Linked DNA regions of Caenorhabditis elegans. The protein of the gene in region 1 interacts with the protein of each later gene in a pairwise test. Each region holds a gene or a part of one and is shown in the gene's direction. Other genes may lie near its edges.

Region 1 (3,752 bases):
TTACAATTATATGAAAAGAAGGAAAATTATATTTGCACAATATTGGAAGTATTTTGTCCCCTCATAAAATAACTACATTCCCATGAAATGGGGGTTGTATTAGATTTGTTTTTTTTTGCTAAAAAGCTCCTTGGTATAATTTCTGAGTTGCGGGAGTAATGGTAACGAGGCTGGTAGCAATAGTAATTGATATTTCAGAGAGGTCAATTGAGTAAACAAATGGAAAAAATTGTGTTTTAATTTGGGCTTGCAATGTGATAAGAAGCACAAAATATTGAGAAGACGAACTAAACAACGTAGTATATTTTCAGCCTTTGATAAAATTGTTAATCTCTCTAACATGTTCGTGTTTTAGCGTTCTGAACCTACAACCAAAATCTTCAAAATGTAAAAGTAATCAATTACAAAAAAAAAAATAAAATTCGACCAATGCGACACGAATTGGTAAAATTCTAGATTTATGATTAACTGCCTTTTTTCCAAATTTTTGAACAGCCATTAAACTTTAAAAAATTTTATGAGAATTCATATTACGATTTTTTTTCAAAATTACTTTTAAAAGCGCAGGTGTTATACAAAAGTACAAGCGTTTAAGCATGCGTAAAAAATTTGCAAAATAATCACATATACAAAAAATGAAACAACTTCTAATTCGTCCCAGCTAGATTTTCGAGTGAAAAAATCAATGACAGATAGAAAGTTGATCTATGTTTTGTTTACTTTTCAACACCAGAAAATGTATTCTGGTATGACTAATATCAAAATTTGCAACTGAATAGACAAAGATGAAAACTTTTCAACATCCAACAGTGGAGGCTTCCAATCACTTTGAGTGCACAACTGGAGAACTTCAAAAAATCTTTCAAAAAAGAGAACACTCCTGTTTCTATAGCATACTCTATTGGCGCAAAAAGAAAATTCCAAATCTCTACGAAGAAACTGGAGACGAATCTGGCCCATATTTCAACAACGCCTCTATGGGATGTCGTTTGCGACGACGGCGAAGAAGAGACGCTTGCATCTGCCACGTAGGGTTTGCATAAATCAAATTGAAACGGATTCGGTTGACACCCCAAAAATGATGAAAACGAAAAAAAGGGGAAACGAGAGTGGAGGTGACTGAAAAGCTCTCGATCTTCATCGTATCTCCATGACTCCATTCTTTCATAATCTGGAGTGGTGTTCGATATGTTGGTCAATATCTAGAAAAGAAACATATGTGACAGGCTAAAACAAATTTTCAGAAATTTCAAACAGCTAAAAACTAGGATTTTTGGAAACTTTGCTTTAATTACTGCTCAACTCAAATATTTCACTACATCTCACACTATGTATTTACGTTCATTTTCCCCATTTTTTTATTTTTCGAAGTTTTAATAAATTCTTTAAAATATTCGAGATTTTACTATAAGAATTTTATAATTTCGTCGTTCTGTAAGTCGTTTCAATAAGGTTTGTATTTTTTCTCCGTTTTTATTTTTTTTGGATATTTTCAAGGCTGTATATATAATACTGGGTGAGAAATTAGACGCAACTACGAAAAATATCATCAGAATAATTAGTCATCTCGACCTGATTGACAATTCTTTGAAATGAAAAATACTTTTTTTTCAGTTTCTAATAATATGTGACCCCTCTATGACCTACTCTCCAAACTCTTTGTTACCGCGATGCGTCATGCAATGATGCATGCGTCTCTTGTATTGTTTTGGACTCTTGTCGTCTATACTACACACGCACACACAGAGAGACCGTCTTCCTGAATGAAACTTGGCACAGTGCCCGCGCTGTTGTGATCACTGCGCAACATGGTCCTCTCCCTTCCTCCTCCTGCGTCTCTCGCAGTAGAGTGTTGTCTGCAAACCGTTCGATAATTCTTGCGGGGCAGAGTTTTTTGTTGTTTTCTGTTTTCAAATCTTCATTGTTTTCATCTTATCTGCTCGTTTCTTTTTTCATGATTGAAAACTGTTTATCGAAATAATATTTTGCAGCTTTGCAAAGTTGCAAACATGCTTCGTTTTTCCTCACAAATTCCGACAGAGCTTTCATTTACTTTCAGTTACCATCACCTGATGCCAGCATGAAAATTCATCACTTTCTCACACTTCTATGCACATTCCTTCCCTTAACCACCACTGCACTTACTAACTCAACTCCACTGTCACTATTAGGACCATGCTACAAGCGTTGTGTCACAAAAGTGAGTTTTTGAAATTATTTTTGGCTTTTTATCTTGTAATTTCATAATTTTATTTCAGTTTGGTGAAACCAAGGAACAACTCACAAATGCAGAAACCATTTCCCTCGAATACGATGTTTCGAATAACACGGAGTTTTCATTGGTTTGTTTCCTAATTTTGTTAGTTAACAAAAAAAATGATTTTAAAATATTTCAGTGCAAGCTGGGATGCAACAGCCACGAATACACCGATCTGAATCTGGCAGCTTTCCGCTACGGACAGCTGGCATACCAGAAAATCCTCACCACAGTCGAAGGTTTGGATTCACAGAAAAACAATTATTTATCTTATTAACCTAAACGTAATTTAGATGTACCAACCCGCGGAACTGTTCTGAATGATGTGTTCATTGTGTGTCTGGATACTTCATTTATGCCGTCCAACAACTCAGCACCGTCCGCCAAACGTCTTCTATCCGGCACAGTTCTTCTCGTTCTTGATGAAGATGTTGCCAAAGCGGATAATGTGTTTCTTATAGAAGTACTTGCTCGAAATGCAGACAAATCTGCTGTTCAGGTGATAAGCCAACAATGGGTGAGTATAAAAAAACAGCTGAGGTACCACACAGATGTAGGTATGTAGTCCTTACATGAGCATGAACAACCGATCAAAAACGTAGCATGAAAATAAATAATTCAACCGTTATTTAAAATTTTCGTGATATGCTCCAACATTTAAATTAACGTGTTTTTAAAAGTAATAATTTTTGCTTATTCCTATACCAGATAATATAAATATTCATTTCCAGTGCTACTCATCCAACTGCAATATCACCTTCAACGCTCCAACAGAAGTTTCTAGTTTTGACGTCCGTCTCCGCGTGTCCACGTTTGATAGCAATGGTCAAGTCGGCGGCATCAATTTTTCTAAATGGCACAATATCAATCAGATTCTGACAAAAACTTTTGTCGACATGTCGCTGAAATCGGTTGTATGGAAAGCTGAAAAGGCTGCCGCAAACTTTGTTTTCAATTTGACTGCAAGTGACCATGTTCCAGCTTGCTCTCTTCAAATGATCTATCGAAGTTCTCTCAGTTCAGAGCTTTTGCATAGAAACTTTTATTTGGTACGTTCAGTCATTTTTATTTTGAGTTGAAATCCGCACATCTTACTCAAACAAAAACATTTTTACAGGATCACACTCTTGAAGTTTTTGTCAACAACTTAGATTTCGACAAGATCTACACAATGCAACTTGCTCCTTCCGGTACCCACGATCGCTCAACACCTTCACTTGCATCGGCAGTTATTGAGATCCCGCCATGTAGACATTTAGTGGATGACTACAGTATGTGTGGTAAGAGTGAAACTTAGATAAATGTTTAAAAGTAATGTATTCTTCAGCACCGCCGCCTGTCTCATCACTAAGTTACAATTGGAACTTATCTCCTACTAGTGAATATGAGCTTCTTATTAAATGGAAGCTCTTGAATTACATGGACGGCCTGAACGTTACAGAAGAGCTCTCAATTCCAGTGGCATATTTCTTGTTGAACGCCCATCCTTTGATAA
Region 2 (3,752 bases), on another chromosome or scaffold:
TTTAGCGGAAATTAAATTGTTTACTAAATATATCACTGGCGGTAATTTAAAATTTATAAAAAATATTTTTTTTGGCGGTAATTTGGAATTTTAAGGAGTATATTTTTGGAGAGAAAATAAAATACCCTAACAATTTTTCAAAAATCCAAATTTCTCTTTAAAAAATTGTTCAATTCAATTTGCCGAATAGCTTGACGAAATTTCCCCATTTTTTTCCAGATACCTGACTCATCGATTTTTTTTTTCAAAATCCCAATTTCAGGCGCGTCGATCAAAAATTCAACATTCTTCGCTCTTTTTTCCTGCTCCCAACTCTCCACAAAAAAAACTTTTTTCCCTCCTATATATATTTTGACACGTGTGCGTCATTTTTAAGATTGATCACACACGCTCAAGCCGAAAATTGGGGTAGATTGCGATGGGGGGAACAGTTGGCTGAGGGACGATGCTCTTCGCAAAGTGGCTCCGGGAGCTCTAGTCGAAATATTTTGATTTTGAGTGATGTGATGATGATAGGCACACACACATGTCGCGTAGCACTTTTTCCGGTTTTGTACAATTTTTTAGAATTTGTTTTCTACCTAAAATTTGAAATTTGAAATTTCAGCCAAAATCGTCAAGTTTTTTTTTGAAATTTAAATTTTCCCGCCCAATTTTGTTATTCAAAAAAAATACCAAACGGGCTTTTTTACCGCCAAAAAGGATTTTAAAAAAATTGTATAACTTCTGACTCCGCCCATTCCGATTCCCACTTGGCACTGTGCCAAGCCGCGCCCAGTGTTCCTCAATTGTTTACAACAGCGGCTCCGGGGGGCTCTTTTTTTTGTAACAGAAAACACAGACACTTGCACAAAGTTTATAAAAACGACCTCATCATATTTTAAGTGGTGCTTTGGTTTTTCGGTTTTTTTTTCGGCGGCGGGTTTTTTGGGAGCTAAATTTGAAAGTTTTGTTTTTTTTTTGGGAAATTTGGAAAATAATTGATAAAAAAATTGTTGCCAGGTTGTCCCATTACGGTTTGATCTACAAAAAATGCGGGAATTTTCGCATCCAAAAAATGTGACGTCAGCGCGTTCTTAACCATGCAAAATCAGTTGAGAACTCTGCGTCTCTTCTCCCGCATTTTTTGTAGATCTACCTAGATCAAACCAAAATGGGACAGCCTGACACCACGTGATTTTGCAAAACCCAAAAATATTTTGGAGTTTTCAGAAAGTTTGGAAAAAAAAAATTCCAAAACATTTCTTGAAAACTTCCCAAATTTCTTAAATTTCCCGGAACAATTTAAAATTTTTGACTAATTCAAAAATTTGAAAATTGAAAAATTTTGTAAAATTTCCTGTTTTTCTCGAAAAAAATTTAATTGAAGTTTCAAGTTCCCGCTGAAAATTATTTAATTAATTAGCAATTGCTAAGCTGGTGCTAAATAATTCAAATTTTCCAGAAAAAGTTTTACAAACGTTCTGAATTTTCTGAAAATTTGTTTGTCTGTTTGTTTGTCTGTTTGTCCTCCCACTTTACCCCACAGCTTCAAAAATCTCATTCACACATTCATCTCTTTCTCCTCTAATAAATCTTCATATTTCTTCCGTTTTTCTTTCAATTTTCCGCGCGTTGTTTTCCTTCCCATTTCCTAAAAGTGTTAGTTTTTTTTTCGCCCAAATTTGTCAAGTATTTCCGCAACAACTGTTCCCTAAAATTTTCAGAGAGAAAGGAAAAAGCCCCAAAACATCTAAAAAAAACATCTGAAAAAAAACTGAAAGGGTGAAAGAATCCATGCCTTGAATACAAGTCGCGGACCACTGGAAAAACGGCTGAGAAAAATTTGGAAAGTTCTGGAACTTACTTGGATTTGACTCTCGGAGCCCGGTCGAGCCAAAATTGCGAAGCAGCCGGAGCAGAACGGTCGGACGCCTCCCGATATGAGGCCCGACGAGGAAGGTGAGGTAGAGCGCGATAGCTACACAGTTCGGTGGAGCGCAGTTTCTAAAGTAGTAATTCAATGATCCTGTAGTTGTTTGGAGCGTCCTTACAGTGAGCCTGGAGTCCTGTAGAGCGCCATTGTAGAGGCCCTAGTCCAGTGGAGCAAAATTTGAAGCTTATAGTTCAGTAGAGCACAGTTACTGATCCTCTCTCGTTTCAAACTTCCCAGTCCACCACAAATCTTCCTACTTCCAGATGGCACCACAAAAAGCCCCGGATCGCGATGGACGAGGATATGGGCCATCATCGCACTGATATTGCTCATTTTATTCCTGTTAGTCTTAGGCGCCGCTATTTATTTCTACATCAACTATAAGGACAGCTCAGACGTTTGTCTTTCGCCGGGATGCATCAAAACTGGTGGGTTTTTTTTGGGGGAAGTTAATTTGGGGTTCATTAGGGCGAGCGTAATGAGTTCCAAATTTGGAAGAGTTCCGGGAAGAAAAAGATAGAGGGATCTGTGGTTTTGTGGGATAGGTATCAATAGGTCCTAGTAGTCCCAAATTGTCCACAGGCCCAACCCACAGATGTTTCCATGGGTAGGCCCCAAAGACCCATACTTACCTCTTTGAAGGATCCTAGTCAGTCCATAGGTCCCATAGCAAATGCCTACTCGACCCACATGATCCTTAGCAAGGGCCATAGGTCCCATAGAAGTACCCATACTTATCCTCATTCCAGCATCCGTGATATTATCATCCATGAACTCTTCCGTCGACCCCTGCGATGATTTCTACGAATTCGCTTGTGGTCAATGGATCAAAGGACACCCGATACCAGACGACGCGCCGAGTGTCTCAAATTTTGAGAACCTCGGCCAGGACCTCGAGTTTGCGCTGAAAGGTCTGTTTTTTTTCTCGGCAACTATTCGACAACCCAGAAATTCCCTTTTTTCAGAACTTCTCGACGAGAACGACGAGCCGTATGACTACGAGACATCTGCCGTCGGGAAGGCCAAATATTTTTATAATTTGTGTCTGAACGAGTCGGAAATTCTGGACAACTGGCGGACGACGTTCGACGAGGTGGTGAAAAGTTTCGGCGGATGGCCGAGTCTCGGGCATCAGATGAAGCCCGATGCGAGTATTGAGATGTTGTACGGTGAGTGAAAGAAGTTCAGTGGGGCGCGTTTGCTATCTCCGTAGTTCAGTGGAGCGCGCTTGTTATCTCCGTAGTTCAGTGGAGCGCGCTTGCTATCTCCGTAGTTCGGTGGAGCGCGTTTGCTTAAGCCTCTCAAAAATCTGGAATTTTCAGCCGACATGGTGGCCAAATTCAAAGCAGATAGCCTATTTAAAGCGACTGTTCAACCGGACGACAAAAATTCTCAGCGCCACGTCCTCCTGGTAATTTTCAGCAGAAATTCATTCTTTTAAAAAAGTTATAAATTTTCAGATTGATCAGCCACAGCTTAACCTATTCGCCCGGGATTTCTACGTGGCAGCCGAGAACGAGGAGCGCATGGCGTACTTGCAGTTGATACGGTAAGGGGGTAGGAAGGGTGAAAAGAGGCAAAAAAGAGGCAAGAAACGGGCAAACAACGGGTAAGAACCGGCAAAACAGGTAAAACAGGCGAAAAAAAAACAGGCAGAAAACAAGCAAAAACAGTCAAAAAAACAAGCAAAAAAAAAGGCAAAAAACCGGCAAAATACGGGCAGAGAACGTGCAAATTTTTTTGACAAATAAGCGAGTTTGGGCAAATTTTGGGCAAGCGGAGTAAAATTGGGTAAAGCTTGGGTGATAACAATTTTTGGAAAATAACAAACTTGGGC

What was found.
Region 2: the proteins of mes-1 (region 1) and nep-2 interact in a two-hybrid assay, tested with the Caenorhabditis elegans proteins (one large-scale study listed by BioGRID).

Annotation. Positions count from the first base shown.
Region 1 is NC_003284.9:11,855,421-11,859,172, forward strand, and holds the start of mes-1 (Protein mes-1), read left to right. Parts: upstream 1-2,057; 5' UTR 2,058-2,080; coding exon 2,081-2,200; intron 2,201-2,258; coding exon 2,259-2,342; intron 2,343-2,396; coding exon 2,397-2,496; intron 2,497-2,550; coding exon 2,551-2,774; intron 2,775-2,988; coding exon 2,989-3,306; intron 3,307-3,374; coding exon 3,375-3,537; intron 3,538-3,584; coding exon 3,585-3,752. UniProt on the Caenorhabditis elegans protein: During early embryogenesis, controls asymmetric cell division and the asymmetric localization of P granules of germline precursor P2 and its descendant P3.
Region 2 is NC_003280.10:2,723,712-2,727,463, reverse strand, and holds the start of nep-2 (Neprilysin-2), read left to right. Parts: upstream 1-1,711; 5' UTR 1,712-1,802; coding exon of another isoform or gene 1,803-1,856; 5' UTR 1,857-1,922; coding exon 1,923-1,941; intron 1,942-2,178; coding exon 2,179-2,343; intron 2,344-2,664; coding exon 2,665-2,826; intron 2,827-2,880; coding exon 2,881-3,084; intron 3,085-3,237; coding exon 3,238-3,326; intron 3,327-3,375; coding exon 3,376-3,464; intron 3,465-3,752. UniProt on the Caenorhabditis elegans protein: Required for olfactory plasticity, which is the change from positive chemotaxis to dispersal after prolonged exposure to an odorant. Thought to antagonise snet-1 by degrading excess snet-1 peptides and thus enabling olfactory plasticity.